7 linked regions of the Oryctolagus cuniculus genome follow. The protein of the gene in region 1 interacts with the protein of each later gene in a pairwise test. Links are inferred from orthologs where the notes say so. Each region holds a gene or a part of one and is shown in the gene's direction. Other genes may lie near its edges. The genes, in order: EGFR, ARF6, CEND1, RAB3A, SH3BGRL, YWHAB and PAK1.

Region 1 (4,039 bases):
CTGTGTGCAGGACTCTATCCCAGTGCTGGGCCCCGAGCCTGGCCAGAGTTTCCACGGACTTCTGCCACCGTTCCTGGAAGAGCTCTCCCCAGCACCACGGAGGAATGTGGTGGGGGCCCAGAAGGTCTCACACTTTGTCTTTTTTTGGGGTACTCAGGATAAATCGCTGCACTTTTAAAAGTCAGTCGAGGGTCACATGGACACCACGATTTGTGCCACCAATCATCCTGGCGGGCAGCGAGTGTGCCTAGGGTTCGTCCGTGGCTCCTGTAGCGGAACGCAGGATCACGGGTGCCCTTCTGTTTCCTGGCTCCTCTTCTAGCTTTTGTCTCTAGCTTTTGTATTTGCGTTTCTTTGCAGCCTGCTCTAAGTCTTCTGGTTTGGAATGTGGGCTGGGAACCAAACACACGGCTGGCTGTGGACTTCACAGCCTTGCTCACCCGGGGCAGCCGCGATTCCTCAGAACAAAGAACAAGCCAGCCGCTCACTCTGGTTCCCCGCAAACCCCACCTTTCCCGCGGCCGGGCGGGGCGCAAACCCGCAGAGCAGGGAAGCGCTGAAGAAGCCCTGGAGCCGAGGCGGGGTGCCCTCGGCCCAAGGGTTCAGAGAAAGTCCCCGCAGCTCCAGGAAGCTCCACTTCCTGTGGCCAAATCCTCAGTGACTCTTGCTGGCGTCTGCGGTGCTGTGCGCGACCGACATCCTCGGCCCTCGCTCCCGGAGCCAGTCCCTGGCACAGTGGAGGCCGTGGGCGCACCGGGACCTCACGCATTCACTCAAGGAACGCAAAGGAAAGCCGCTCTCCCAGCGGGGAGCCGAGCGCGCTCGTTCCCAACGACTTCGAGGGCGCTCAGGGGGCCCCTAGGGGCCCCAGCCGCCCGTCTGGGTCTGGCTCTGCTGGGGACTCTTGCCCCGGGGCCCCAGCGGCCCCTCTGCGTGGTCACCCACCTCGGCCCTCGGGCTCAGCCGGTTTGTCCGGAGCCTGCTCCAGGTGGCTCCGTCTACAGAAGGGGCCGGTGAGGGGACCAGGCCCGGCTGCGCCCCGCGCTGGGAACCGACCCGGCCTGGGGTCGCGGCGCGCGGAACGCCCCTCTCGGGAACTCGCTCCCGGCGCCAGGTCCCGCGGGGCCGCGGCGTCCACGCCTCCGCTCGCCGCTCTTCCTCCCGCTCGCATTCTCCTCCTCCTCCGCGCCTCCGACCCCTCCTCCTCCGCTGGGCCCTCCTCCCGCCGCCTCCCCACGCCCGCCGCCCGGCAGACGTCTGGGCAGCTCGGCGCAGCGCGGCAGCCGCTCCTCACCCGCCGCCCGGAGTCCCCGAGGCCAGGCGCGGGCGTCCCAGGCCGGACCCAGGCGGGACTCAGGCGCCCGCGTCTGCCCCGCGCACGGAGCCCGACGCCCTTCCGAACCGACCGCACAGTTGAGCGCGCAGCGGCAGCGATGCGACCCTCGGGGCCGGTCGGGCCCGCGCTCCTGGCGCTGCTGGCCGCGCTCCTGCAGGCGGGACAGGCGCTGGAGGAGAAGAGAGGTAAGGGCGCGACCCGCACCACACCGCGCCGCGGTCTTCCCGACTTCCGTGAGGACCCTCGGGCTGAAACCGCTCTGGACGTCTAGCTCCTGGGCTGCGCGAGTCGCACCAGGGGAGCTCCGGCGCCGAGCGCTGCCCAAGCTGCTCCATACCCGGCACGTGCGCCCCGCGCAGTCCGCGCACCCATGGGCGGTGCGTCCCACCCGCGGCCCTGGGAGTTTAGGTTGGATCCGGGAGCTGCGCGCACCTTCCGGGACTGGCGCTTCCCGAGCGCACCCTCCCCGCGCCGGCCCCACCCGGTCCCGGGCTGCAACCAGAGGCCCCGCGAGCCCTTCCCGCGTGAGGGGCTGCGGCCGGAGCGGGGGCTGGAGGACTCCTGTCGCCCACCACGCGAGGCTGCTGGGCCGGGACGGCGCGGGGAACTGGGGCTGGGGTCCTGTCCGGCACGCCCCTGGCGCGCAGTCCCCGCCCCGCGCCGAGCGGCCGGGTGCGGCCGGGCCAGGTGCTTGGCGGCGCGGCGAACCCGGCCCCCACCTGCGTGCTTGCTCCGCAGGACTGGCTGGGCGGCGGGTCTCGGCTCCGAGCCCGCCCTGCGCGTCCCCCACGGTTTTCTCAAAGTCCCAAGATTTTCTCCTTTTTGGCGTTTCCTTTTGCTTTCTGAAAAGTTTGATATTGGGCCAACCAAAATATTAAACTGTATCAAAACCAGGAAAGGATGCGGTCCGGGCCCCACGTGCGCGAAGGCCCCGCGGAGTGGGCCTCGCCGCGAGACGCCCGCCGCGGGAGGCCGCGTTGCACAATCCCCGGCTGGGCCGGCTTCCGAGAGAGTCAGGTCCCTGCTTGCCGTTGATGTCATCGGCCTCGGGTCTGGGCTCTGGCGCCGGGCGCGTCTGCGGGCCAGGGGTGCTGCGGCGGCCCCAAACTTCGCTGCAGGTGGGAATCACCTGGGACTGAAAAACGAAAATAGTAATAAACAACGAACTGGAAAAGAGGGGAGAGGGCGAGGGGAGGTTGAGGCGGGGGAGAGGAAGCGAGGACCACGTCCGGCTCCCGCTCACGGATACCCCGATTTAATTGGTGTGGGGTGAGAGCCGGCCTTGGGTTTTAACAGCTCGGGCAGGCTTGCGAGTCCTGGCGTGGAGGAAAGAAGGGCGAAGTGTCCAGAAGGCTCACCCGCTAGCCGTGGAGCTTCCCCCAATCTGCGCAGCTCTCGCAGAGCGCCGCGAAGGCAGGGCTTGGCCAAGGGGGCTCTGAGGCCCCCGGTGCGCGGCTCCGGTACACCGAGTGCTCAGTGCCTTCTCACCCCAGAAGTGCGCCCAGCTCCTAAGTGGGGCTGCCTCCCCGCTGCCGCCGTGGTGGGAGATTTGTTTCTTGTTTGCCCTGTGTTCGCCAGTGCTGTGGTGAGAAAGGGCGCGCACGCTCCGTTAACATGAGGCAGAGAGACTGGCGAGGATCTAATTACTAAAACTGCGAGGCATAATCTTCCTATAGAAGTTGTTAAGGACCCATGTCAATCACGTGCCAATTCCATTCCAGGAGAATTGGTGAGGGTTTTTTGGGTCTCAGCTAGGAAACCGGTATTGGCTGCCCTCAGATCTAACAACCAGACCTGGCTCCTGCGTCCTCACCTCCTTCCTCATTTTCCCGCCCTGCAGGAGAAGATCGATTTCCCCACCGCTCACAAGAGGCAGGGTCAGGGCTGAGACGCCACTGCCTTCTGCAGCCCAGGTGTGGGGAGCCAGGTCAGGTGTACGCGGCTGACTCACCTCACTTGCAGCACAGAGGAAAAGTACCAGGAACGGCTCATCAAGTTGGGCTCCCCTCCTGAGGCTGCAAACACACCCTGCTAACCAGTGGTCTGCTCTCCTCAGGGTTCCTCAGCCTGGTGGGGACAGCTCTGTCACCAAATCCCTGAGCCAAGCTTGCTAGGGGAGTTGAACAAGGCCTGGATCCTCGCTCCAGGGAAGGCACTGCTGAGGAGGAGGTCCTGGGGTGTTCCCAGGAGCTCAGGAATTCTCAGCCACAAGCTTCTTGTGGGGATGAGCCTGGCCACCCCTGGTTCAGTGGGCCTGGGCCGTGTTAAAGAGAAACCAAAGCAGAGGTGGTAGGGAATCCAAGACGAAGGATGGGATGCCCCGGCTGGCCTGGCAGCCGGCCTTGTCTTCTCACTCCAGCTGCGGGTGGAGGTGAACAGGTCACATCCAAGCGCCAAGCTTCTCGATCCCCTTTCTGAGTTCAGTATTTGTGAATTCAGTATTCACTGTGCGTGCCTGGTATCATGAGTTAAAAGGGAGGAGAGTTATGACAGCTACTGGAAATGGGATTCTGCAAGTCGCTAAATACTAGTAAATTTCCTTTTTACTCTTTCAGAGTCTTGTCTATCGCACAGACAGGCAGAAACCTGGTGATAGCTCCAGCCGGCTCTGAACAGTCATTTCTGGCTTCATGCATTTGGTTTCATAATCCATCGTTTTTCACAAACCTTTCTCTGGTGTTTGAAGAAGCCAGCTGCCAAAAT
Region 2 (4,094 bases), on another chromosome or scaffold:
AGTAACCCTTCGATACAAAGATTTCCTTGGTCTTCCACCAACATGGTATTATTTCATCCTCCAAGCGGGGCGGAGTAAGCGAGGTCAGTTTACACAGGAGATCAGCGAACGAGGTTAAGTGGCCTCTCAGGTTCTACACCCTACGCTAAGGTGACTGCAGCACGGGTGGGTGGGTGGGTGAGCAGCTGCCGCTCCCATACTAAAAGGAAGTGACACTGGACTAAGAACAGTTCATCGCGTTCCAGAAAGCTCTTCACCGCCAGCTTTTACAAGAAACGTGAGCTGGTCCTGATGCAACACGGACAGGGCTCCAGTGTTCGAGAGAGGGGCTTCCGAGCAAACCCGAGCCCAGCCACGGCGCGCCACTGACTGGCGGGTTCAACACGAGCGCGCCGGCCTCCCATGCGTCTTCCAGGAAAACCCTGAACACCAGAGGCAACGATACCAAGGAGGGGGTCGGAGAAAAAGCTAAAAAGCGGCCAAGGCGTCCCCGGGAGACCCGGGGCGCGCGAAGTCCGCCGAACTTTCCGGGCCTGCAAGCGGCTCCGTGGGGGCGGCTCGTCCGGCGGCCCCGCCCTTGCGGAGGCTCCATTTCCCCACCTCCCCGGAGTATTTGCTCCCCGGACTGCGGGGGCGGGCAGAGGCGCGGAACGAAGGGGCCGCCGAGCGCGCAGACGCGGCGAGAGCGACAGGTGGGCGCGGGCCAGAGCCCGAGGCGCGCGGGCTCGGGCGGGCGGCACCCGCGAGCCCTCCGGGACGCCGTAGCCCCGCCCCCTCCGGCGCGTGGCGCCCGTGACGCTGGGCGCGCGGGCCGCTCTCCTTCCAGAGGTCGCTCTTGTCCGAACGGTCGGCCTGCGCTGCGCCTGCGTGGTCGGGAGGGGAAGTGAGGCGGTTTCTTGGGCGCCTTTTCCGGCAGCGGCAGCGGCAGAGCTGGGAGGAGGTGGCGGCGGCCGGAGCGAGCCCGTGCTCGGGGCGGCGGCTGGAGGTAACCCCCACCACCACCACCCGGCACCGACACCCGGGGGCCGAGCTGTTAAGGCGGGCGGCCTCGGCCTCCGCGCCCGCTCCCGTTCGGAGCTCCGGCGGTAACTCCCTTCTCCTTCTCTGTGTCTCCGCAGGCAGCGCGCTGAGTTCCCGCGAGGATCCATGACCTGACGGGACGCCGGCGCCGCGCTGCCTGACGGGTGGCCTGGGTCGGTGGCGAGCCCGGTAGTCGGCGGGCCGTCGGGCGGGCGGAGGAACGGGCACGGCGGCGGCGCTCGCGCGGCGCCTGCGGGGGGGAAGGGCAGTTCCGGGCCGGGCCGCGCCTCAGCAGGGCGGCGGCTCTCCGGGCGCAGACTCAGGGCCCCGGCGGCGGCGGCGGCTGGAGGAACCAAGTTGTGCGGGTCGGTGATGCCCGAGTGAGCGGCAGGCCCGGGCCTCTCGCCCCGTAGGAGGCGACTCCCACGCAGGCCGCACGGGCGCCCTCGCGGCAGGGAGGCTTCGTTTCGGTTTCGCGGCGGCGGCGGCGGCGTTGTTGGCTTGAGGGGGAACCGGGACACCTGAATGCCCCCGGCCCCGGCTCTTCCGTCGCGATGGGGAAGGTGCTATCCAAAATCTTCGGGAACAAGGAAATGCGGATCCTCATGTTGGGCCTGGACGCGGCCGGCAAGACCACAATCCTGTACAAGTTGAAGCTGGGCCAGTCGGTGACCACCATCCCCACCGTGGGCTTCAACGTGGAGACGGTGACTTACAAAAACGTCAAGTTCAACGTGTGGGATGTGGGAGGCCAGGACAAGATCCGGCCGCTCTGGCGGCACTACTACACCGGGACCCAGGGTCTGATCTTCGTGGTGGACTGCGCCGACCGCGACCGCATCGACGAGGCCCGCCAGGAGCTGCACCGCATTATCAATGACCGGGAGATGAGGGACGCCATAATCCTCATCTTCGCCAACAAGCAGGACCTGCCCGATGCCATGAAACCCCATGAGATCCAGGAGAAACTGGGCCTGACCCGGATTCGGGACAGGAACTGGTATGTGCAGCCCTCCTGTGCCACCTCAGGGGACGGACTCTATGAGGGGCTCACATGGTTAACCTCTAACTACAAGTCCTAATGAGCATTCTCCACCCAGCCCCCGGAAGGAGAGAAATCAAAAACCCATTCATAGGATTATCGCCACCATCACCTCTTTCAATCGCCACTTTCTCTTCTTTTGAATTTGAACTCTGGAGTTACAGTTCTACGGTTTAGGGAGGGGGGGTTGGGGTTTTTCTTTTTTTTTTGCTTTTTTTTTTTTTCTTTTCTTTATTCCGCTTTGCGTTAGGATGCTCTGATTTGACGTTTGACATGAACACAAAGTGCTAGGTGCTCTTGTTGACTTCCAGCAAATGGGGTGGGGGAAATACAGCAGTTCTTGGTAAAGTCCTTTATAATAATGGTTTGATTTTTTTATTTCTAGAGAATCTTTTTCCCCCCCAAATGTATGCTTTTTTCCTTTTTTTTTTATCCAGTTTCCTTATCACTTGCTGTAGATGGCTTATTTTGCATTCATGCAGACTATGTTGCAAGTCTGTTTCATCTAGTAAACTGAAAATTATTGCTTAATCAAACTGCCGTTTGTCTTTTATATTTAAGGCTCCCCCCCTTATGAATTCTAACTTAGTAATTTCAAATGTGACCTAAGACCAGTATAAGTAAACTTAGCCCACAGTGGCAAATAATGAGTAATATCATTGTAATATGTTCCAGTTGCACATCAGTATGTTAAACAGGTAATGTAAGAACTTATTTGAAATGTCAGCTATTAACTCCTAAGACATACATCATGCATGAGTAGGAATAAAACCCAGGGTCGTCATAACATAGCAAACTTAACACTGCAAAAAATATGAAAGTATAACCCGCCAAGGACATGAGGTTTTTTTTCACTGCAAAGTTAGCAACTTTTCCTTTTTTTAACATCAAAAATAGACTCCTTCCAGAAAATGGAGCAATAATGGTGTGTGCCACACACAGATATCTGTAGATATTTTAAGCGACTTTTGGGCAAAACTGGAATACTTATACATTGTTTCAAGTGTCTTAAGAGCAGTAGTATTAAAGTTACTGAAACATTAGTTTGTTCATTAATAAAGCATTTAATGATTCAAGTTATATGCACCTTTTACCTAGATGGAAAAATACACATTCCTGTTTTCACATTACTGCAACTGACTAAGCTGAAGATATATCATTTTTTATAGATGAGTGATCCACATCTCCTTTAATTAGAACACTGGAAAAGATGTTTTATAAAAAAGATATTTAATTTTGTTTGATTGTGGGATTAACTCGTGCAAATAGTAAGACAACCTGTTGGTTCAATAGTACACTGTCTCCTTTAAGAAAGGCAATGTGATGAATGAATGTTGGATGTGTAGACTTAAGGGATGACAAAGGGGAAGTGGGCTGAAGAGAGAACCTACAGATGACAATGAATGTAAACTTATTTTTCTTCAAGGGTAAGCAGTGTGCTCACTGGTGATATCCAGATCCTAACAGAATTACTTGGGTAGCAAGTTAGGACCAGTAGCTAGATTGAGACCACTATGGTAGTATTTTGAACCAAATGTTAATGCTTGATACAGAGTTGTGAAGCACCATCTGGTTCTTATATAGCCTTAAGGATTAATTTTAGTGATCCTCAAGGAATTAAACTTAGGGAATTTCAGAAATGTAGACTGCAAAGGCAGTATACAGGAAAAAGTGGAGTGGGTTTCGTTTATGAGGGTGTCTGAAAACAAAACTGAGCGGGATATCATGGTATAGTTGGACAGTATTGGTCCTTCATGCTTTGGCCATATTGTATAATGGAGCTTTTACCAAAGATATCTGAGAATCATAAGGCTATTTTAAAAAAAAAAATCAACCATTCAAAGTAAAACTCTTGACAAAGCATTTTTCTTCAAGCAGATGAGAAAAGGTGCTATGTTGTAGGCTCCGGCTGGTACAAAGGGATTTTTGAGTTCAAGATGCAACTAAAGTATAAAGTAGTCAGTTTCACTTTAGTGAAAGTATCTCTAAAAATGAAGCTGATCAAACACATCCTAAGAACATTATGGTTGCT
Region 3 (3,934 bases), on another chromosome or scaffold:
CCCCAGCCCTGAGCCCTCCCCCGGGGCGGGGGAGCTGGGAGGGGATGCAGGGTCCACGTGGGTGGCACACACCCAGGGCTTCGCCTGCCCAACCTTTGGGATCAACGTCTTATTTATGTAGAAAATGCGGAGATTCTTACATTCCTCAAGCCAGCCCCTGCCCCAGTCCTGTGCCGGCTTGAAGGCCCCCGGGGACGGAGCTGGTCTCTGGGCTGGGGGCTCCCAGGCCTGGGCTGGGCAGACTGGACCCCACCCCCTCCAGTCCACCGCCTCTCATCTCTGAGGCCCTCCTGGTCCACGGAGGGGATCCATACAAATCTATTTATTGAGTCTGCTGCGCCCACGTGGCTCTGCCATCTTCCCGTCCGTCCGTCCGTCCGTCTGGCCTGCCGGCCGGCCCTGCTGCCTAGCTCACGTCGGCCTGGCCAGCATTGGGGGGGAGCCACACCCACCCTGTGGGACCCACACGTTGTGAGGGGTGGGTGATTGGGGAGCAGGTCCCGCCCACCAGCCCTCAGCTGGCCTGGCCCCGTGGGGCCCGGGTGCTGTCAGGCTGTCCAGAGAAGCCCCGCCCGGCCCCTCTTGCTGCATCTCCTGCAGACCTCTCCTGAGACACCCCCGTCCCTGCCCTGGGATTGGTCGGCCGGAGAGCAAGCAGGAAGACCAGCGGCCGGGCTGCCCTCCCCCAGGGTCCACTGCTCTTGGGACCTCTGCCGGAGGCCCCTGGCCACCCCCAGACCCCCAGACGCTGGGTGGAGGCCTCTCCCCGCCCGTCCCTGCCATGTGAATGTGTTGGTGATTGATCTGACGTGCTGGTGCTGTGTTCCCAGACTGGGCGCCCCAGGCCCTCCCCCACCCCGTGACACTACCTGGGCTCAGTTCTCGGTTTCCCCGTCACCTCCGTACCTTGGAAGCTGTGCTGCTGCTTACAGATTATATTTTTTTTTCCTTTGAAGAGTTTTAAAAGTAATTTTTTGTGTCTTGTCATGTAAGAGGATAAATAAATATTCTACCTAGATGCCTCTCTGGGAGTCTGTTTGGGGGAGGGGCCGGGATGCTGGGCGGCCGCCTGCGCTAAGCCTCGCCCCGGCCGGGGGCGGAGCCGCGGTGGCCGCGAGGGGCGGGCGCTGAACCTGCGGCCCCGCCCCTCGCTGGTCTTCTGCCCGGGCGCGGTGCATTGTGGGCATCTCCCAGGCTCTCCGCACCGCACCGCATCGCATCGCATCGCATCGCCTGGGCAGCCGCCGCCCGCCGTCCAGAGGGAACGCAGCGCCGCGGTGCGAGGCCCGCAGGACGGCGTAAGGCGGGGGGCTCGCGGGTGGGCGGGGGGGGCCGAGTGTGGTGCCTGGGGGTGCAAGCCTGCCTGGTGCTCTCCTGAGCACCGTGGCTCTGGGAGGGGGAAGAAGCGGCTGGGAGGTGAGAGGGCTCAGAAATAAGGGAGGGGGAGACCACTGCCCGCTGCGCATGTGATGCCCAGCGGCTGGCACCCCCCTGCCGGGGGCGCTGGGGGTGGGAAAGGGAGGCCCTCGCTCCCTGGGATGCGGGGCAGTGGCTGGTCCTCTCCCCGGACACCCTCCTCACGCGGTGACCTTCAGATGACCTTCAGTGAGGTCACTGCATCAGGCCCGGGGTGGGGAACCTGAGCGGCAGCCTCGTCACTGGCTCCCTCTTCCTTCCCGGCTGGGGGACCCCTCAGCCTTCCCCCAGGGGAGACAGGCGGCCCCAGGTCTCCAGGCAGGCGGCTGGGCCTGGGGTGCTGTCCCCGCCCTCACCTGGGCCGCTGAGAATCTGGGCGAGGCCCAGCCCATCCTGCACCTGGCCTGCAGGCTTGTTCTGGGGACACCTGCGTCCCCAAGGCAAGCACTGCCCCGGGGCAGCAAGGACTCAGTGTCCTTGAGCTGCCTGCAGAGGGGACCTCCAGGGAGCAGTCTCAGTGCCACCTCCAGGTCCTTGCAGTCCCACTCCCAACCCCAGCAGCCGCCTGCAGCCGGCCCCGCCCTGCCCTTCCCCACCTGGGCTGAGTGCGCAGGCCGGATTCTTCCCCCTCGGTGCCTCCCTGCCCTGCGCCGGCGGCAGGGGCGTAGCCCAGATCTGCAGGAGGGCCCTGTCTGCCCACCTGCGGCCAGCCAGAGGGCAGGAGCTGGTGGAGGCCAGACCAGCAAGAGGAGGGTCTGACACCCACAGGAAGCTCCCTAGAGGGGACTCCTGGGGGGACCATGAGCCAGGCAGGGGTGGGGGCGCCCAGGAGCGGAGCCTTGCCCACCCCCTCCCTGGTGTCTGCCTGCAGGCCCGTACCATGCTCAGGGACCAGCCGCGCTGACCGCCTGCCTGTCCCACACGCCCAGCAGCCCCACCTGCCATGGAGTCCAGAGGGAAGGGAACCAGCAGCCCCAAGCCCGACACGAAGGTGCCCCAGGCTGCCACTGAGGCCAAGGCCCCCCCAGCCACCGACGGAAAAGCTCCCTCCGCCAAGCCCGTGAAGAAGGAGGCCCAGACGGAGAGGCAGGAGCGGCCGGCAGCCCCTGCCCCCGCGCCAGCCAAGGCAGACCCCGCCCTCCTCAACAACCACAGCAACCTGAAGCCGGCCCCCGCCGCCCCCGCCGCTCCCGCCGCGCCCGGCAGTCCCGACGCAGCCCCAGAGCCCAAGGGTCCCGGGGATGGGGCCGAAGAGCACGCATCCACCTGCGGGGGCCCCGGGGGCCGAGGGCCCTGGCCCTTGGAGAACTTGACCCCCTTGCTGGTGGCCGGGGGTGTGGCCGTGGCAGCCGTGGCCCTGGTTCTTGGAGTGGTCTTTTGGGCCCGGAAAAAATGATGCCCGGTGCCCAGCTCGGGGCCGGGAGCCACTTTCTGTACAGAGCTGGAGGGCAGTGCATGCAAGGCCTCACCGTCACACATCCGTGTACACACGCACACACACGCACACGCACTCCCCAGCCCCGCCCCCGGCTGCACAGCCCTAGGGCCGTGGAGAAGGATGGGGCATTAAAGGGCGTGGTGTCTCATTCTCCCCACTCCTGCTCTCTGTGTGCAGCTGGGCGGGACACGGGGGGCTGACCGGAGGCGGCCTCCGCCAGTCCCTGGCCGGGCTCTGCCCAGGGCACCTCTCCCAGCTTGTGCCCGGGAGCCCCTGGGGCTGGGACTGCCTCACCCCCTGCCCAGAGTGGCGACTGTCCTGGGGGCAGCCGAGAGCCCCAGGGAGGGGAGGACCCTGAGGACCCCGCCCCCAGCTCCGCGAGGGCCCCTCCCATCTGCTTCCAGCGCCCCCTGTCTAACAAGCGTATAAATGCAATAATACCGGTAGAGTAGAACCATTTGGCGGGCGAGCGACACCCGTGCTCGGCCCCATCCTGCCTGCAGGGAGACTCTGGCCCTCGGCCCTGTGGCAGAGGGCTGGCTCTGTGGGAGCGAGGTGTGCCCACATCTGGGTGGTGGCCGTGGGCACCCCGGGCCCGAGGAGAGGCCGAGTCTGAAATAAACTCTGTTATCCGAAGGCTGGGCTGGCGTCTCACCCTGCACTCGGGTAGGGGGTAGGGGGTGGGGGCCGTGAGGCCCAGGTGGGGGCGTCTCACCTGCACTGGGAGGGGCGGGGCTTCCATGGGGGAATGAGGAAGGCACAGATGCCCATGCTGGGCTTTCCAGGGACAGGTGGGGGAGCCCCAGGTCCCCTGGCCGGCCCCCTGCCGCCCCAATGCCCCTGAGCCTGATGGGCTGACTCGCAGACCCTCAGCCTTCCCGGGAGCCCTCACACCAGAGGGACACTGAGCAGTGGGGCCATGGGATCGGGGACGGGGGCCTCATTCCAGGAGGGGCCCTGCTGTCGGCCTCTCAGCACCTCTCCCTGGAGGCACGCAGGCCCCCAAGCCCACCCCAAGCAGCCTCCAGCTGACCAGGCCTCCATGTAGCCCCAGAAGTGCTGTGGGCTCTCCTGGGCACC
Region 4 (4,289 bases), about 7.8 Mb from region 1:
CCTGTGCGGGGAGAACCGTGTGATTTCGGGGTCACGACCACCTCGGGTCCCCAGAGACGAGGGTGAGACACCAGCGACGGGCAGAGCGCCCCCACAAGCGGGCGCGGCAGGCGCAAAGGTCCTGCGGGACACGGAGCCGCTGGGGGGGGGGGCGGCTTCGGACCTGGGAACCTGCCTCTCCCCCACCTGCTGCCTCCCCACCCCCGCCAGGCAGGAGACAAACTCGGGGCCCCCCTCCCCGTCTGCCAGCCTTGCCAGCCACCGCTTCTATTTTTACATCCACACACGGGGTGCTGTGGTCTCGTGACTGCTTCCCCCGGGGGACTCAGAGCCCCACACACCCCGCCTAGAGCCCCCGCCCGCGCAGGGACCCGCGCACCCGCCCAGAGCCCCCCAGTGGGGGCGGGGCCCAGGGCCCCAGACGGGGAGGGGCCGGGGTCGTGACGCTCAGAGCCCGTGGGGGCACTCACACGTGACTCAGAGAAGTGAATTTCCCGGCGCGCACGCGGGGGCGCCGGGGGGGGGCAGGACTTTCCAGGCCGCGGCGCGGGGCGGGGGCGCCGGCGCTGTGTCGGGAACAGGGCGAGTGCCCCCCAGCCCCAGCCCATCTCCGCTCCAGTTTTGGGCAAGGGAGGGGCCGGGGGGTCCTGGGGACCCGGGACGGGGCGGGGGTCAGAGGGTGGCACCAGCGGGCCCGGAACGGAGCGGGGGCCCTGCCGCCGACCCCGCAGCGAGAGCAGAGCCGAGGGCGCCCCCGCCCTCCGCCCTCCGCCCGGCCCTGGGTTCTCGGTAGCGGGGAGGGGTCACCTGGCCCCCGACCCACGCTGGCTGGGGATCTCCACCGCGGGTCTGGGGGTCCCGGGCACTGAGCCCCGCCCATTCTGTTTCCTGCTCGAGACGGGGCGCGCCGGGGGAGGGATTCGCCGGCGGCCCCCCTCCCCGGGGGTCTTCAGGTCGGGGACCGCGCGAGGGGCTGTCCGACGAGCCCCTTCCTCTTTTAGCTTCTCAGGAACCCCCAGACGCAAGGGCGGGGCACGAGGGTCTCCCGGGCCCCGGTTCCGCTTTCCTGAAATTCAGGAGACGGGGCTCCTAACGAGAAGTCGCCGCACCGCGGACCCGGCAGGGGCAGCCCCGACGCCCCCCGACCTGGGGTGGGCGCGGCCGGGAAGGGAACCGCCCCCCCAGAGACCCCTTCAACCGCCTGGGATCCCTCCATTGGCCAGGGGGACGGCGTCTGCGAAGCTCATTGGCTTGCTGGTCCGTCACTGCACCTCTTAGCCAATGAGCTGACGCCAAGCAGCCCCGCCTTCCTGAGGGAGGTGAGAGGCGGGACCTGCTTCCCCGATTGGACGCGCGCGCCGGGCCACGCCCACTTCTCGCGTCCATCTGCACGGCAGCCCCGCCCCTCCCGGCTCTGCCTGCGTCCGGGAGCCGCAGCCGCCGGCCCGACCCCGCCTCTGGTGGCGTCACGGCTGTATCTGCATGCGAGGCCCCGCCCCGCTCTTTGCAGGACGTCACGGAGGACTGCAGGGGCCTCAGCCACCGCCGCCGCCGCCGCCGGGCAGCCCCGCACGCTCTCCGCGCCCCGGTCCCGCAGCTGCCGCCCCGCGCTCCGCCTAGGGGTATCCGCCGCGCCGGTGCAGGGCGAGGTGAGCCCCCGGCGGCCCCGAGCCTCGGCGCCCCGCGCCGCTGAACCCTCACGTGACTGACAGGCGGGTGGCGGTGGGGAGGGGGCGGGGGAAGGCGCGTGGGGGCGGGGAGGGTGCGGGGCCGCGGGCCCGGGGGTCCCCCGCCGCCGCCCGAGCCTCGCTCCCCCACCCCCGGGCGCTGCGGCGAGGGGGGAGGGGCGGCGAGCGCCTTGCGGGACGCTGCGCGCGGGAGGCTCTTGCGTGCGCGTGCGCGAGGTGTGCACCTGCGTGTGCGCGCCCGCCTACCCTGGCGCGGGAGCCTGGGTTTGCCGGCATACGGGCCGCACGCGTGTGCAGAGAGCCGCGTGCACGCCCGAGGGTCCACGTTCCTGTGGGTCTGCGCGGCGTGAGCGCGTGCACGTCCCTTCTTTGCCCTGGCCTCGAGGTTTGGGGTTGCAGACGCGCGTCCCCGCGTGGTGGGGGTGGGGCGGTGCTGGCAGGTGCACGTGCGCCTGCGTGCCGGGGACCAGGCAAGATTGAGGGGGGGCGGCCGTAGTCACCCCCACTCAGGCTGCAGCCGTAGGTTTAGGGTTACAGCGGGACCTGGGCTGCTAGCGGGGATCCCCTGCGGTCTGCACCGGTCAAGGTCACGGCCCGCCCCCTGCTCAGGGCTCCTGCTGCCAGGGGCAGCCGAGGCCGCAGCCCCCTCCCCGAGCCCGGGGCTCCCTACCCCCGCAGCCCAGGTCTGGGTCCCCGGCAGCCCCGGCTGCAGCCAGCTCCCGCTCTCACCCCCCCCCCCCCCGCGCAGATGGCGTCGGCCACGGACTCGCGCTACGGGCAGAAGGAGCCCTCGGACCAGAACTTCGACTACATGTTCAAGATTCTCATCATCGGCAACAGCAGCGTGGGCAAGACCTCCTTCCTGTTCCGCTACGCCGACGACTCCTTCACGCCCGCCTTCGTCAGCACCGTGGGCATCGACTTCAAGGTCAAGACCATCTACCGCAACGACAAGAGGATCAAGCTGCAGATCTGGGTGCGCAGCATGCAGTAGGCGCCTACTGTGTGCCAGCCCCACGCGCTCGGCCCCCAAATGCCAGCCAGAGCTTGGGCGGGGCTCCATCCGGGTCTCCCACGGGGCAGCAGGGACCCCTGCCCCTGGGCCAGCACCTGCTGCCTCCCAGGGCGCGCATGCGCAGGGAGCTGGGCGGGAACCCAGGGATGTGGGGCCCCGCGCGGCGGTGTAACTGCTGCTCCACAGTGCTGCCTCGGTTTCCCCATCTACAAGGGCTTCCATGTGGGCTGTGTAGATTTCAGCTGGACCTTGTTCCGTGGGGCAGGTGCGCTGTGTCCACCTGTGACCGCAAACGAGAACTGTTCATCCGGGGCCAGCGCTGTGGCCTCGTTCCTAAAGCCCCCACCTGCAGCGCCCGCATCCTGTGTGGGCGCCCGTGCGAGTCCCGGCCGTTCCACTGCCCATCCAGCTCCCTGCTATGGCCTGGGGGAGCTGTGGATGATGGGCCGAGTGCCTAGGCCCCTGCACCCGTGTGGGGGACCCGGATGGAGCTCTAGAGCCGGGACTGGGCCCCAGGCACTCGGATAGGGGGCGCGGGGAGTTGCGGTGGAGTTCACTTTGGGCGCCACGCACCTGCCACCGCCCCTGAGCTGCCCTTGTCGCCTCCCACCCTAGGCCCTGGAGCAGGGCTTTGGGAGTGGTCCGTCCCCCAGGGCGGGGCTTTGGGGTGGTCCATCCCCCAGGGTGGGGCTTTGGGAGTGGTCCGTCCCCCAGGGCAGGGCTTTGGGGGTGGCCTGTCCCCCAGGGCGGGGCTTTGGGAGTAGCCCGCTCTGAGCATGCCCCTTCCCCAGGACACGGCGGGCCAGGAGCGGTACCGCACCATCACCACCGCCTACTACCGCGGCGCCATGGGCTTCATCCTCATGTACGACATCACCAACGAGGAGTCCTTCAACGCCGTGCAGGACTGGTGAGCGCGCGGGGCGGGGTCGCCTCGCTTAAGATTTACGCAGAGAGGAAGGGAAAGGGAGAGAGAGAGAGAGAGGGAGGGAGAGGGAGAGGGAGGGAAGGAGAGAGGGAGGTCGGTCTTCCGTCTGTTGGTTCACTCCCCAAATGTCTGCAATGGCCAGGGCTGGGCCAGGCTGAAGCCAGGAGCTCCATCCGGGTCACCCCCATGGGTGCAGGGGCCCAAGGGCTTGGGCCATCTTCCACTGCTCTCCCAGGCCACAGCAGAGAGCTGGATGGGAAGTGGAGCAGCCGGGACTAGAATCGGCGCCCCTGTGGGATGCAGGCACCGCAGGCCGGGGCTTTACCCGCTGCGCCCCAGTGCCGGCCCCGGGAGATGACTCAGGGTCGAAGAGGTTGCTTGAAAGGGCAGGGAACCTTCTGGAACAAGCACTGGGCAGAAGGCACAGGACTCGGGTTTCCAGGAGGGGCTGCCCAGTGTGAGGCCAGAACCGCCCAGCCCTAACTCCACCGTCACCGCCTCCTGCAGGTCCACCCAGATTAAAACCTACTCGTGGGACAACGCACAGGTGCTGCTGGTGGGGAACAAGTGTGACATGGAGGACGAGCGGGTGGTGTCCTCGGAGCGCGGCCGGCAGCTGGCCGACCACCTCGGTGAGCGCCTGCGCCGGGGCCAGTGC
Region 5 (4,103 bases), on another chromosome or scaffold:
GACTCCTTATACCTCATAGCCTAATTTTTACAAAGCCACAATTTTTCAAACTTATTTAACTCTTTCCCACAATAGAGGAGTAACACTTCCCTCTCAAAAATCTGGAGATGAAAAGCAAGTAAGCTGAACTTTGCAATAGATTTCTTTCTTTTTTAAAATATTTATTTATTTATTTACTTGAAAGGCAGTTACAGAGAGAGAAGGAGAGAGGGGGAGAGAGAGAGAGAGAGAGAGAGAGATTGGTTGATTTCCACTTGTTCACTTCTCGGATGGCCACAACATCTGAATCTGGGCCAGACCAATATCAGGAGCCCAGAACTTCATCTTGGTCTCCCACGTGGGTGGCAGGTACCCAAGCACTTGGGTCATCTTCTCCTGCTTTCCCAGGTGCATTAGTAGGAAGCAGGGACTCGAACTGCATTGCAGGCAGGGGCTTGGCCTTCTACACCATAATGCTGGCCTCACAGTGGATTTCTTAATGTTAGCCAGTAGAAACACTTAACTGTGTCAAGTACTAGCTTTAGTTTTCTTTAAAATGGTCCTATGAATTAGGTACTGTGATTATCTCTGTTTTACAGTGAAGAAACTAGAGGTTCAAAGAGGTTAAAAAACTTTCCAGGTCACACAGCTTGTAAGCCATAGAGTTTAACTCCAACACAAGCTCTTTGAATTAAAAAAAAAAAACTGTGCTTAACCACCAAGATGATACATGACAGCTAGAAAGCAGGAGGAGATAGATGTGAACATGAGGTAAGAGATAGGCAAGAAATAAGTCCGGTAAATGGACAAGGAGTTGCCTGGGAATGTGCATGTAAGGGAATAGAGAAGTGGGAAACTGATGTGGAGAAGGATATTATGCCTAAAGATGAATGGCAGTAAGTGGGGTAAATATCTATTAACCCAAGATCAGGAAGACAGAGAAGACATGTGCATTGGGAAAGCCTCAACTGGTCTTTTATAGGTCAACATCAAAAATTTTTTGGCCTTAATAGTTTTTTTCCTCTTCATGAGAATCAATTAGAGGGAATGGAGCTCCCAAGTTGTTGTCGGGTTTTTTTTTTTTTTTATAGGAAGTGATTTCTTCATGTTGAGAATGGCTGATACATGTTTTGACCCACTGCAATGCAGTAATGTATGCCATATTCCATTTTTCAGTCTTGTAATGGCTTATAAATTTACACTTAATGGAAAGTATACTAAGTCCAGTGCTTATATAAATTAACAAATTGTAGTAACTTTTTTAAAAAAAATTTATTTATTTATTTGAAAGGCAGAGGTAGAGGTAGAGGTAGAGGTAGAGAGAGAGGTCTTCTATCCGATGGTTCTCTCCCCAGATGGCTGCAATGGCCGGAGCTGTGCTGATTTGAAGCCAGGAGCCAGAAGCTGGTTCACTTCCCAGGTGCAATGGTTGAGGCTAAGCCAAGCCGAAGCCAGGAGCCAGGAGCCAGGAGCCAGGAGCCAGGAGCCAGGAGCTTCTTCCAGATCTCCCAAGTAAATGCAGGGGCCCAAGCACTTGGGCCATCTTCTTCTGATTTCCCAGGCACATTAGCGGGGAGTTGAATCTTAAGTGGAGCAGACAGGACTAGAATCACCTCTCGTAAGGGATTTCAGCACTGCAGGCAGCACCTTTACCTGCTACACCACAGCACTGTCCCCCATAGTTCTTCATTATATGATTCTCAAGTAATTGCTTCGTAGATGACAGAATGTTTTGCTTCTGTTTTTCTGTGTTTATAAATTGAGCGTTGATTTGATATATACTTTGGTATTTTTCGTAACTGGTAAAGTTTGTTTGAATGCTTTTTAAAGGTATTCATAAACTACTTAGAAGACCAAAGTAAGAAATCATTCACCAAATGACTGGACATGTTTTTTGCATGCCCCAAACACTGAAACATGGAGGCTTTCATGCAGCAAATGCAGATTGAAAATCATTGCCTTCAATTTGGTGCCCAATATTTCATGGTTGATTTCCTAAATTTACAACAATGATAAAGGCACTGCAGTAATTTAGCCCAACTTGAAGAGCCTTGGGATGCACAGGTGTAAATGATGGTGATTCTTGAGCACTTAAAAAACACTTAAAAGTCAAATGATTATATGGAAAATTTTAGTTTGAAAGCTTAGTAAAATATTCATAATGTAGTAGGAGAGAAGGATGAAATGGATTCATCTCTTGTGCGAAAACTAGTTACCCTGTTGAGGAAGGGTTTTGATCAACGAACCTTAGGATCAACCCTCCCCATGGGTTGGCCTGGGGAGAAAATCACTTAGGGTGCTAGAAATAATCAGATTGAATGTTCTAAATCACTGTGGCTACTTCTAATATATTTTCTAAAATACATATTGTATAATCAACTATAAATCTGTAGGAATATTTTTGCTTAATTATAAAGGATGAATTTTGTATTCTATTTCTTATAAAATTCAACAAATTAAGAGAGAATCTGTTTGTGACTATCAGACCATCTGTTTCCTTTCAATTCTACTTTACAGCCCACCAGGAGTCCTTTTAAACCCAGAATTTAATCACTTCTTGCAATCCAGGACCAAAATTAAACAAAAGTACATTTAGAGAGAAGAGGAAGCTCATGTATGATGACTGTTTTTATTAATATGAGAGACAAAGCTGACATTTTACACTTGGCAAGCAGAGAATTTAAAGCAAGGAGATTGTTTTCCAGTCCAGAATCCCACATTTTGGATGTGTTGGCTTGAAGTATTGTTAATTGCCAGAACATAAAAAATTTCAAATATGAGCTTAAAAATATGACAAATTCAAAGACTGTTTAAAGTACTGCTATATTTTGTGGTTGCACTACCATTTCATTAACATGGCTAATCAAGATTTGCTTCTAGTAATAGTAAAGATTAACATTTATTTTTGGGTTGCATTTGTCAAGCACTGTGCTGAGTTCTTTATATCCATTGTTTCATTTAACTTAACCTTTACAATAATACGGTGAATTAAGTGCTAGTACTAAAGCTGTTCTCTGTAATTGGAGGAGTATCTCTAAGATCTGGAGACATTAGGTACACTGCTGCAGACCAAAGAACTAGACATGACAGAGTTGGGATTAGAACGCAGGTTGTCTGACTTCAGAACCTACTTCTAAACACTGTTATTTACACATCATCTGTGTTTATGTATTGAATAGAAGTTATGTCAATAGTACATTAAAAGTTTCTCATATGACTGTACTGGAAATAAAATTGCTACTTAAACTAGGATGGTGCCTTACCTAATCGAATGTGTCCTTGTCTGTAACCTGCATGTGAGAGTGATGTGGGGTGAAGGTGGGGGAAGTAAGCAAGTTAATAGCATCATTTTCTTCTACAAGTTAAGTTTTCTAAAATAAAATGCCTTAGCCAAGGACACATTTATAAATAGTGCATGTCTATCCTTTCTTGTGCTGGCTTGTGCTACATCTTGAACTTTCATGGCTTCGATTCACTTTCCTGAAAAGTGTCTGTGTGGCTCTAGACCAACATGACTGAAAGGTGGATATTTATGGTTCTATAAATCTTCTAAATCTGTTGGGAAGGCGGTACTACTGTAACTTGTAAACTCTGAGTTTTGGACTCTAGTCTTTGAGTTCTGCTCCTTTGGCTTATTCATTTGTGAAAATGGGACTCTGTTACAGAATTGGCATGAAGCCAAACAGTTCTGCTTGGGGGATTTCCAACAATGAATAAATATGACAAATAAAACTTCACCTTCTAAACACCAGAAAATGCTCATCTCAGGTAACTCTTACTACATGAAAACATTTTGTCTGTTTTATATCAGCACTACTTCTCAGCCAATTGTTTCATCCCAGGTGTAGCATATTTCTCAGTGCTGAAATTACAGCAGTGAATATATATTTAACAGTAGTGTAGTATTGGAAGCCATTATTTCCAGTGGTGTATTTTCAAATTTGATTTAGAAGAAAGACAAGCATAGACTATTATTTAATTTATTTAAAATATGATAAATCATCTCACTTTAATTTCTTGCACAAATCCTTGTAATTCATCCACTTTAGTTAATAATATTAAGAGTTATCATTCAGTAAATACTTGCACTTTGCCAGGCATTTGTAGGAAGTTTACCTGGGTTA
Region 6 (4,171 bases), on another chromosome or scaffold:
ACTGCCAACTCAAACTGTTTAGAAATAGTCCCGCTGGGGGGTAAGGAGTCATCCAACGGGGTTAGGGTATTTACGATGGGTTATGTATGGGTAAGGGGAGCTTCTGGAAAACCTTGATTGTAACACTCAAGGAACTTACTATTGATAGTTTTCAAGGTCTGAGTGATCAGCAAAGGATTTAAGTAGGGACAGAACATGATTAGAATGGCATTAAACATTTTTTAAAAATATACTTGAGAAAGAGCACTCGCATTTACTGGTTCACTCCCCAAATGGCCAGACCAGCCCAGGCAGAAGCCAGGAATAGGAACTCAAACCATGTCTCCCAGGCGAATGGCAGGGATCCAACTGCTGGAGCCATCACCTGCCGTCTCCCAGGGTGGGACTTAGCAAGAAGCTGGAATCTGGGTGCCCCCCACCGTAACTGCTACACCTGCATTTTTAGATCAGTAGGCAGCTGATAGAGGCGGGGCTGGGCATGGTGTGGCGAATTAGATCTCTATCATTAACTAAATAAGGGTAAGGGAGAGATGACAGCAACGCGACCCAGGTACTTTTTTCTTCTGCCGCCAGACTCCCAGGGGAGCAGGGCCCCCTCTCTCCTGTGTATTGCTGTCTCTCCAGCACTAAGCGGAAAACCCGCTCCGCATCTGTCAGCATGAACAGGTGAGAGGCCAGAGAGGGTGAGGGGCCACGCGGCCCCGTGCGCCTCCCTGCAGCTTCCTCAATGAAGAAACCATGTGCACAGGTTTTTTTCAGAAGACCTTCACGTGGCCTCTTCAGGCTATGAGGGCAGGAGATAGTCCCTTAAGTACAGAAAGGCGGATAAACCGAAAACGGGGGGACGAGCAATTTCTGTCTTCCGAGGTCCAGTTATTCGCACAGCACGCAGCCAAAGGGTGTGTGCGCTGGGGCTCCGACCCCCGGGAGGACTACTTCCGGGGTGGCGTGGGAACCTGCACCCTGGGAATCGCTGTGCCTGGCCCTGCCCAGGCTCCAACCTAAGCAGCGCGGGCGCTCCCCCACCCGAGTCCTCCCTGTTCCCACACATCCCATCTCTGGACCTCCACCCCCATCTCCGCCCTCTCTCCTCCCGCCTCCTCTTCCCGTCCCCCCGCCCCACTTCCTTCCCCTTCGGCCGCCTCCTCCCTGCTACCTCTCCCGGCCCTGCGCCCGCCCCGGTCCGCTGCGGCCCTGCACTGGGCTCTTCTTCCTCCTCCCTGCCGTCAGCGCCCCTCTCGGGCGGCCAGGGCAACCCCGTGCCTCACTTGCCCAATGAGAAGACGGCGCAGGGAGGGGCGGGGCTTGAGCCAAGCGGAAGCGGTGGCCGGAGCGGAAGTGGAGCTGCAGCCACCGCCGCCGCCGATTCCGGAGCCTGGTTAGCTGCTGCCGCTGCCGCCCCTGCAGCCGCCGTCGCCGCTGCCTGAGGAGCAGGCTTGGGAAGGAAGCGGTCGCCGCTCTCGGAGCTTCGCTCGGAAGCCTCTTTGCCCCCTGCAGCCCTCCCACGGTGAGTGCGGCGCGGGCCCGCCCGGGGCCCCCAGGGGCCCACGCTCCAGGTCCCCCTCAGCCCGCGGCTGCGATGTCGGCCCTGCGGGTGAGCCCCCGGGGGTGGCGGTGCGCGGCTGCCGCGGCCCTGGCTGCCGGCTGCGGCGCGGGCCCGACCTCGCCGCGGCCCCTCCCTGTTTCCGGGGCCGGGCCCTTCGCCTGCAGAAGCCCGGGCCTCCCGCGCCGCCGGCGGCCCTGCCAGGCGGGCAGGGTGCGGCTCGGTACTGCGGGTCGGGGACGGCTGAGCCTTGGCCCCGGCCCCTCCCTCCTGGCTGGGCTTTTATCCCCGGCGCGACCCCTCCCTGCGCCTCGGTCGGCGAGAACTACCCTTTTCAGCCCTGTCACTGCGGCTCTGGGGCTTTCCGGCTTCCAAAAATTAAAATTTAAGCAAACGCAGGCGAGTTCTTGCGCCCCGGTGCCCCTGCTTGGCTACCCCTGGATGAGTAAGGGGTTTAACCTTGGGAGACAGCAGGGGGGAAACCCCCACCCACTTTGCAGCAAAGCCATTTCATCATCCTCCGCTGGGTACGGAGCCCGGCAGGACCCGAGATTCCCTGGGAAGATCAGGTCGGAGGTTTGAAGCAAGAAAATGCATTTGTTGGGACCGATGTCTGAGTCAGGCCGGATCTCCAGGGGAAAAAAGCCACCAGCTGGTGTTGGGAATATTTTCCCAGGGCATGCGCCGTCATTTAACGCCCGAGTGTTTCGTGTCCTCGGCCCAGATTCCCCCTGACTGTGTGTGAGAGCACGTTTTTCAGTCCCGAATTTCCCTGGTAGCCGGGGGAAGGGATGAGAACGCTCGACTCCTTTTCTATAGAAGCTGAGTCCATTTTTGCCTATTGCAAATGGAGAACTCGCATGTAATGGAGTTTTCAAAGGTGGCAGCATTGGCTAAGACAGTTTGCCAACCTTTCTGTAAAAATACATGGCGTCTTGTCCTTGCCTTTGCTGCAGTTCTCTTTGGTAAAGGCTGGATGGCATCAGGCTCTGATTTTCCTTGCCCTGTGTGGGAGCTGGAATTTGGCAAGATGATGTTGCGAACATAGAAAATCGGCTGGCTACAGGAGCCACGAGGGAGAAATGGAGCGCTGGGAAGCTGAAGGTTCCTTGCACTGATTACTTTGTCTGAATGGTCCACATGGAGGCACACACCATATACAGTGATGTAGAAATGGACACGTGGCCACTGAGATTTCTGCATCTTCCTGTTGGAATTTTGTATGTATAGAAATATTGCTCGGTAGTGAATTTCTTCATTGCTTCCAGTGCACGCCATTTCTTTCTCAGGGATATTTTAGATATCTGAGCCCTCATTTTTTCTGACCCATGTCTCTAACAGCACATAGTATGGAGAGTATAAAAACTGGTCAGTTTTGTCAGGTCCAAGTTGGAATTTTAAGCTTGGCCTTCAAAATGGGTGGCTGCAAATCCAGTAGCAATGGCTGGATTATTTTCCCATCTGCCTTCAATGAGATAAGTCAGTCACCCATCTTACAGATGAAGTCTGTATGAGAAAGGTGATTTGGCCTAGCCCACACACTTAGCTTCACACTGAATATCCTTATTCATCAGTAGCAAATATTTATGGACCGTAAGCCCCTGGAGTATGGCTCCTACCCTGTAATTTTGTGTACATTTCCCATGATGCAGTGCTTGTGTTATGGTGAAGCCATTTTAGAATTGGATCTCCCTGGATCAGGGAGGCAGCCTTTCTGAAACCAGGCTGAGCAGATTCCCATGGTGCTAGTTCCTAGGCAGCGTCTCCGGAGATCTGAGCCACTGCGAAATGTGCATCTTGCCCATTTGGCTGTAGGTGCAGAAACCAAAGGAGTATTGAAATTGGAACCAGGTAAATGCACTTCAGATGTAGGCGGTAATATTTTTTAGTATGATTTGCAGCATTTTAGTTAATCTCTAGTGTGGTCATGAAGCTTTTTTACAAACTGTAAATTGTTAAATGAAAGCTTTTGCTTTTTTTTTTATGACAATTTGCTTTTCTCCAGTTACATTTGAGACCCAGCCCTGCTTTGTGCACATACTGCTTTCAAAAAATGGTGTTGTTACCAATTTTTATTTTGCACATAGAAAATCTAGTCTGTCATTTTCTCATCTGTACAGTGCAAGTGGTGATGCAGCCTTTGATGTATTGTGACAACTCAGTAATTAAAATGAGCATCTGGGATACAGAAGGTGATTAACCACATGCGTGAATGTGCACATGTGCAGATCAGGCGTAGCGTATATTGTATGACATAAACAGGAATGTAGACTACACCTGTTTGATTTATTTATCACCGATGAAGTAGCATCAAACAGTAATAATAATAAATAATAATTACAGTATTTGCTGTGTGCCACAATTTGTTCTAAGCATTTTATATTAGTCTTAATAACAACTAGTGAGAGGTAAATACTGTTAGCCTCATTTTACAGATGAGGAAACTGAGGCACAGAGAAGAATAATTTTCCCAAGACCCCTTCCATGTACAGCTCAAGGTAAGTTCTAGAGTCAGGAAGGAATTGGAGCCAGGTGATCTGGCACTAACAAAGAGTAGGTGTCTACTTGTAGAGCAACACATGCCGATCATTTATTTAAACACCATTTAGCCTTTAATTTCTCTTTACA
Region 7 (3,500 bases), on another chromosome or scaffold:
CTGATTGTTAGAAAATGCTTCAGTGTACCTTTTGTGGTTTCTTACCTTTTGATTTAAGCTTTACTCCCTGACCCTACATCCTTGTCTCAGACTTAGAATGGCTTTCCAGAGATGTGAAGATGATGATCATGGGGTATGATGGAAATAAGACTGGGGTTATCAATAGTGTCACCCTAAGCATGTTGTCTGCATGTGGGTACCAAGAGTGAATCCCAACTTGAGCCCAAGATGATTTTCCGTTTGTATTCCAGGCCTTGTACCTCATTGCCACCAATGGAACCCCAGAGCTTCAGAACCCAGAGAAGCTGTCGGCTATTTTCCGGGACTTTCTGAACCGCTGTCTCGAGATGGATGTGGAGAAGAGAGGTTCAGCAAAAGAGCTGCTACAGGTAAGTGTCTCTGCAGGGACGCACCAAATTCAAGGCGTCAGTAAATCTAGCCTTTTGTGCTTCATTTTTGTGTATAAAGAACTATGCTTTTGTCCTACCATTTACCACACTTGCTGTAATCCTAGCTCCCTATCCTTCATTCCGGGGCCTTTGCTCATGTTTCCATTAGCCTCTTGCTCAGCTCATTAAAACTCTACACATCCTCGTAGCTTCTTCAAACCTACTTTCTGAGCTCCTTGTTGAACTTTGCCTGTATCTTTCTTTGACATTTCCTTTGTTTTGCATGAATTAGTCTGACAGGATTTGCTTGAGCATTGGTGAGAAGCAGCTCTGACATGTAAATATTACACAAGTTATATTTTACAGAATAAGTGCTAATGAAATAATTCTCAACAAAGGAAACTGGGTTTAGATCCCAGTTAGTGACTGTGATTTCTGAAGTCTTTACTGTTTTTTTCTTTTTTCCACTGGAAACCTCTCAGATCATGGCAAAGATGTTCTACTTGTTTGGAGGGTTGTAGCGAAACCAAAAATTTACCAAGCCTTTTAAACACCAACCTGCCTAATCCTGAACTGCAGCATAATTATTTTGTATGATTTCAGAAACTGTCTTTAGAGGACCACATTTAATATTTAATTTGTATCTAAGTTTTGTGTTCCCAGTACAATTTCTTATTACTAAGATTGTTTTACTACATTGCTCCCTGGTGATTTTATTGCACATGTCACATACAACTTTATGGTAGTGATTGACCTGCAGGCATATACTCTCAGTTCCTTTTGTATTATGAGGCCCAGGAGTGACTGGGCAGGGCAGGGGAGTACTTCGTGTACTGCCTTGTGTTAAAGCCAGTTATGAATATCTCTACTTCTCCGCCTTTCCCAGTGGATTATAAATTCTTTTTTATTCAAACTCTCTTTCTTCTTGTACCTGGGACAAGACTCAGAATAGGTACTCAGGGAATATTTATTGGGTAGAATGGAGCTGCTTAAAGAATTTACCTACAGTAGCCTTTCATTCTCTGGAACATAATTAGTATCTCTTTGTAATTGAAGTTACTGATTATAGAGCACTGGCCTATTAGATAACAGAAATGGATTCTGCTAAGTGTATCCCATTAGTTTCTAGGATCCTTTGGGATTAAAAAAAAAAAACCCTTATTACAGACAGTATAATAAAGAATTAGTCTTTAAAAGTAGTTGTGTTCTGAAAACCCTAGGTTTTTAGAAATGTGCCAATAGTATGTTGTTATAGCTGTGAAGATAGGTGTAATTCAATATCAAATTCTCTTTTTTAGACATTTTTATTGAAAGTTTAGTTTAATTGAGATAATTTTATATCTTCATACAATTGTAAGAAACAATACAGAAAGCTTCCATATATTACTCAGTTCCTCCCACAGTGGCACAGTGTCACAAAGATACAGGCATGGATTGAGTACATTGATCTATTCATAGTTCTCCAGTTTTACATTGTAGTGATTTTTGTGGAAATACACTCCACTAAACAGATAGATAGATGGTAGAGTTGAACCAAACCTATGTCTATCTGGCCCAAATGTTGAGTTCTTAACTTTTGATCAAATTACTTTTATTGAGAGGTCAGTGTATGCTACAGTTTTCTTCCTGACATGCTAATATAACTACTAATAGATACATTGTATTGGATCTTCACCATATTTTAGGCACTAAGCATTTCATATATAATATTTTTAAAGATTCATTTTATTTATCTGAAAGGTAGTTACAGAGAGAGAGAGAGGGAGAGACAAAGAGAGGTCTTCCTCCCATTGTTTCACTCTTCAAATGGCCACGGCTGAGCCAGGTTGACACCAGGAGCCAGGAGTTTCTTCTAGGTCTCCCGATGGGGTGAGGAGACCCAAGCACTTGGGCCATCCTCCACTGCTTTCACAGGCCGTAGCAGAGAGCTGGATCAGCAGTGGAGCAGCTTGGACTCTTCCTGACACTGTATGGGATGCCAGCATTGTATGTGGTGGCTTTACTGGCTATGCCACAATGCCAGCCTCACCATATATAATTTTTTATCTATTCTGCACAGCAGTCCTGTGAGTTATATGTTCTATTATTCCCATTTTTTAGGTGTAGAAACAGAATTTTCAAGTATTTTGTAACTTCCCTTGATTATATTGCTGAAATGTAGTGGATACAGGATTTCAACCTATGTCTGGCCCTCAAGTGTGTGTGCTCTTGGCCACTATTATAAACTCAGAGACTGTCACAACTGGAAGGCTGTTAGGGCTTGTATTTTTCTTTATTCAGAGATGGAAACTGAGACCTCCTAGTTGGGAGCTATTCTTTCAACTCAGGGGAGTTAAAGAAACATGTGGTCTGAGAACACTGATTCTAGTGTATATTTTTTTTAACTTTTTTTTTTTTTTTGGACAAGCTGAGTTAGAGAGAGAGAGACAGAGAGAAAGGTCTTCCTTTTCCATTGGTTCACCCCCCAATAGCCGCTACAGCTGGCATGCTGCGCCGATCTGAAGCCAGGAGCCAGGTGCTTCCTCCTGGTCTCCTATTCGGGTGCAGGGCCCAAGCACTTGGGCCATCCTCCACTGCCTTCCTGGGCCACAGCAGAGAGCTGGACCGGAAGAGGAGCAACCGGGACAGAATCCGGCGCCCCGACCGGGACTAGAACCTGGGGTGCCGGCGCCGCAGGTGGAAGATTAGTCTAGTGAGCCGCGGCACCGGCCTGATTCTAGTGTTTATTGTAAAGATTCAGAACCATGACTCTTAAAATCTTTTTTTTAAAGATTTATTTATTCATTTGAAAGGCAGTACAACAGCTAGGGAGAGAGAGACAGATCTTCCGTCCATTGGTTGACTCCCCAAATTGGTACAACAGCACCACAACTGGACCACACTGAACCCAGGAACCAGGAATCCGATCCTGTTCTCATACAGAGGTGGCAGGGCCCCCATTACTTGGACCATCTTCTGTGGTCTTCCCAGACCATTAGTAGGAAGTTTAATTGGAAGCAGAACATTTGGAGCTAAAACCAGCACTCTGATATGGGATGCCAAAATTGCAAATGGCTGTTTAACGCTCTGTGGTACACCAGTCCATACTTAAAATCTTACATCATGAAGGTT

The links.
Region 2: the proteins of EGFR (region 1) and ARF6 interact in a protein complementation assay, tested with the Homo sapiens proteins (2 studies listed by BioGRID and IntAct). The link is inferred for Oryctolagus cuniculus from reciprocal best matches to the Homo sapiens genes EGFR and ARF6.
Region 3: the proteins of EGFR (region 1) and CEND1 interact in a protein complementation assay, tested with the Homo sapiens proteins (2 studies listed by BioGRID and IntAct). The link is inferred for Oryctolagus cuniculus from reciprocal best matches to the Homo sapiens genes EGFR and CEND1.
Region 4: the proteins of EGFR (region 1) and RAB3A interact in a protein complementation assay, tested with the Homo sapiens proteins (2 studies listed by BioGRID and IntAct). The link is inferred for Oryctolagus cuniculus from reciprocal best matches to the Homo sapiens genes EGFR and RAB3A.
Region 5: the proteins of EGFR (region 1) and SH3BGRL interact in a protein complementation assay, tested with the Homo sapiens proteins (2 studies listed by IntAct). The link is inferred for Oryctolagus cuniculus from reciprocal best matches to the Homo sapiens genes EGFR and SH3BGRL.
Region 6: the proteins of EGFR (region 1) and YWHAB interact in a protein complementation assay, tested with the Homo sapiens proteins (3 studies listed by BioGRID and IntAct, with this or other methods). The link is inferred for Oryctolagus cuniculus from reciprocal best matches to the Homo sapiens genes EGFR and YWHAB.
Region 7: the proteins of EGFR (region 1) and PAK1 interact in a protein complementation assay, tested with the Homo sapiens proteins (3 studies listed by BioGRID and IntAct, with this or other methods). The link is inferred for Oryctolagus cuniculus from reciprocal best matches to the Homo sapiens genes EGFR and PAK1.

What each region holds. Positions count from the first base shown.
Region 1 is NC_091447.1:57,745,895-57,749,933, forward strand, and holds the start of EGFR (epidermal growth factor receptor), read left to right. Parts: upstream 1-1,239; 5' UTR 1,240-1,433; coding exon 1,434-1,521; intron 1,522-4,039. UniProt on the Homo sapiens protein: Receptor tyrosine kinase binding ligands of the EGF family and activating several signaling cascades to convert extracellular cues into appropriate cellular responses.
Region 2 is NC_091443.1:26,198,546-26,202,639, reverse strand, and holds the start of ARF6 (ADP-ribosylation factor 6), read left to right. Parts: upstream 1-1,294; 5' UTR 1,295-1,574; coding exon 1,575-2,102; 3' UTR 2,103-4,094. UniProt on the Homo sapiens protein: GTP-binding protein involved in protein trafficking that regulates endocytic recycling and cytoskeleton remodeling. GTP-bound form plays an important role in the transport of multiple palmitoylated proteins form the Golgi to the plasma membrane.
Region 3 is NC_091432.1:319,781-323,714, reverse strand, and holds CEND1 (cell cycle exit and neuronal differentiation protein 1), read left to right. Parts: upstream 1-1,134; 5' UTR 1,135-1,298; intron 1,299-2,287; 5' UTR 2,288-2,359; coding exon 2,360-2,812; 3' UTR 2,813-3,490; downstream 3,491-3,934. Other genes in the region: SLC25A22 (mitochondrial glutamate carrier 1), read left to right, coding at 1-12.
Region 4 is NC_091447.1:65,551,341-65,555,629, reverse strand, and holds the start of RAB3A (ras-related protein Rab-3A), read left to right. Parts: upstream 1-1,489; 5' UTR 1,490-1,649; intron 1,650-2,436; coding exon 2,437-2,664; exon of another isoform or gene 2,665-2,941; coding exon of another isoform or gene 2,942-2,983; intron 2,984-3,494; coding exon 3,495-3,613; intron 3,614-4,138; coding exon 4,139-4,263; intron 4,264-4,289. Other genes in the region: MPV17L2 (mpv17-like protein 2), read right to left, coding at 2,942-2,983. UniProt on the Homo sapiens protein: The small GTPases Rab are key regulators of intracellular membrane trafficking, from the formation of transport vesicles to their fusion with membranes.
Region 5 is NC_091453.1:68,904,764-68,908,866, reverse strand, and holds the start of SH3BGRL (adapter SH3BGRL), read left to right. Parts: upstream 1-1,303; 5' UTR 1,304-1,404; coding exon 1,405-1,491; intron 1,492-4,103. UniProt on the Homo sapiens protein: Appears to function as an adapter protein that bridges proteins together or proteins with mRNAs. May function as a ubiquitin ligase-substrate adapter.
Region 6 is NC_091442.1:14,271,414-14,275,584, reverse strand, and holds the start of YWHAB (14-3-3 protein beta/alpha), read left to right. Parts: upstream 1-1,371; 5' UTR 1,372-1,507; intron 1,508-4,171. UniProt on the Homo sapiens protein: Adapter protein implicated in the regulation of a large spectrum of both general and specialized signaling pathways. Binds to a large number of partners, usually by recognition of a phosphoserine or phosphothreonine motif.
Region 7 is NC_091432.1:68,425,034-68,428,533, reverse strand, and holds part of PAK1 (serine/threonine-protein kinase PAK 1), read left to right. Parts: intron 1-251; coding exon 252-389; intron 390-3,500. UniProt on the Homo sapiens protein: Protein kinase involved in intracellular signaling pathways downstream of integrins and receptor-type kinases that plays an important role in cytoskeleton dynamics, in cell adhesion, migration, proliferation, apoptosis, mitosis, and in vesicle-mediated transport processes.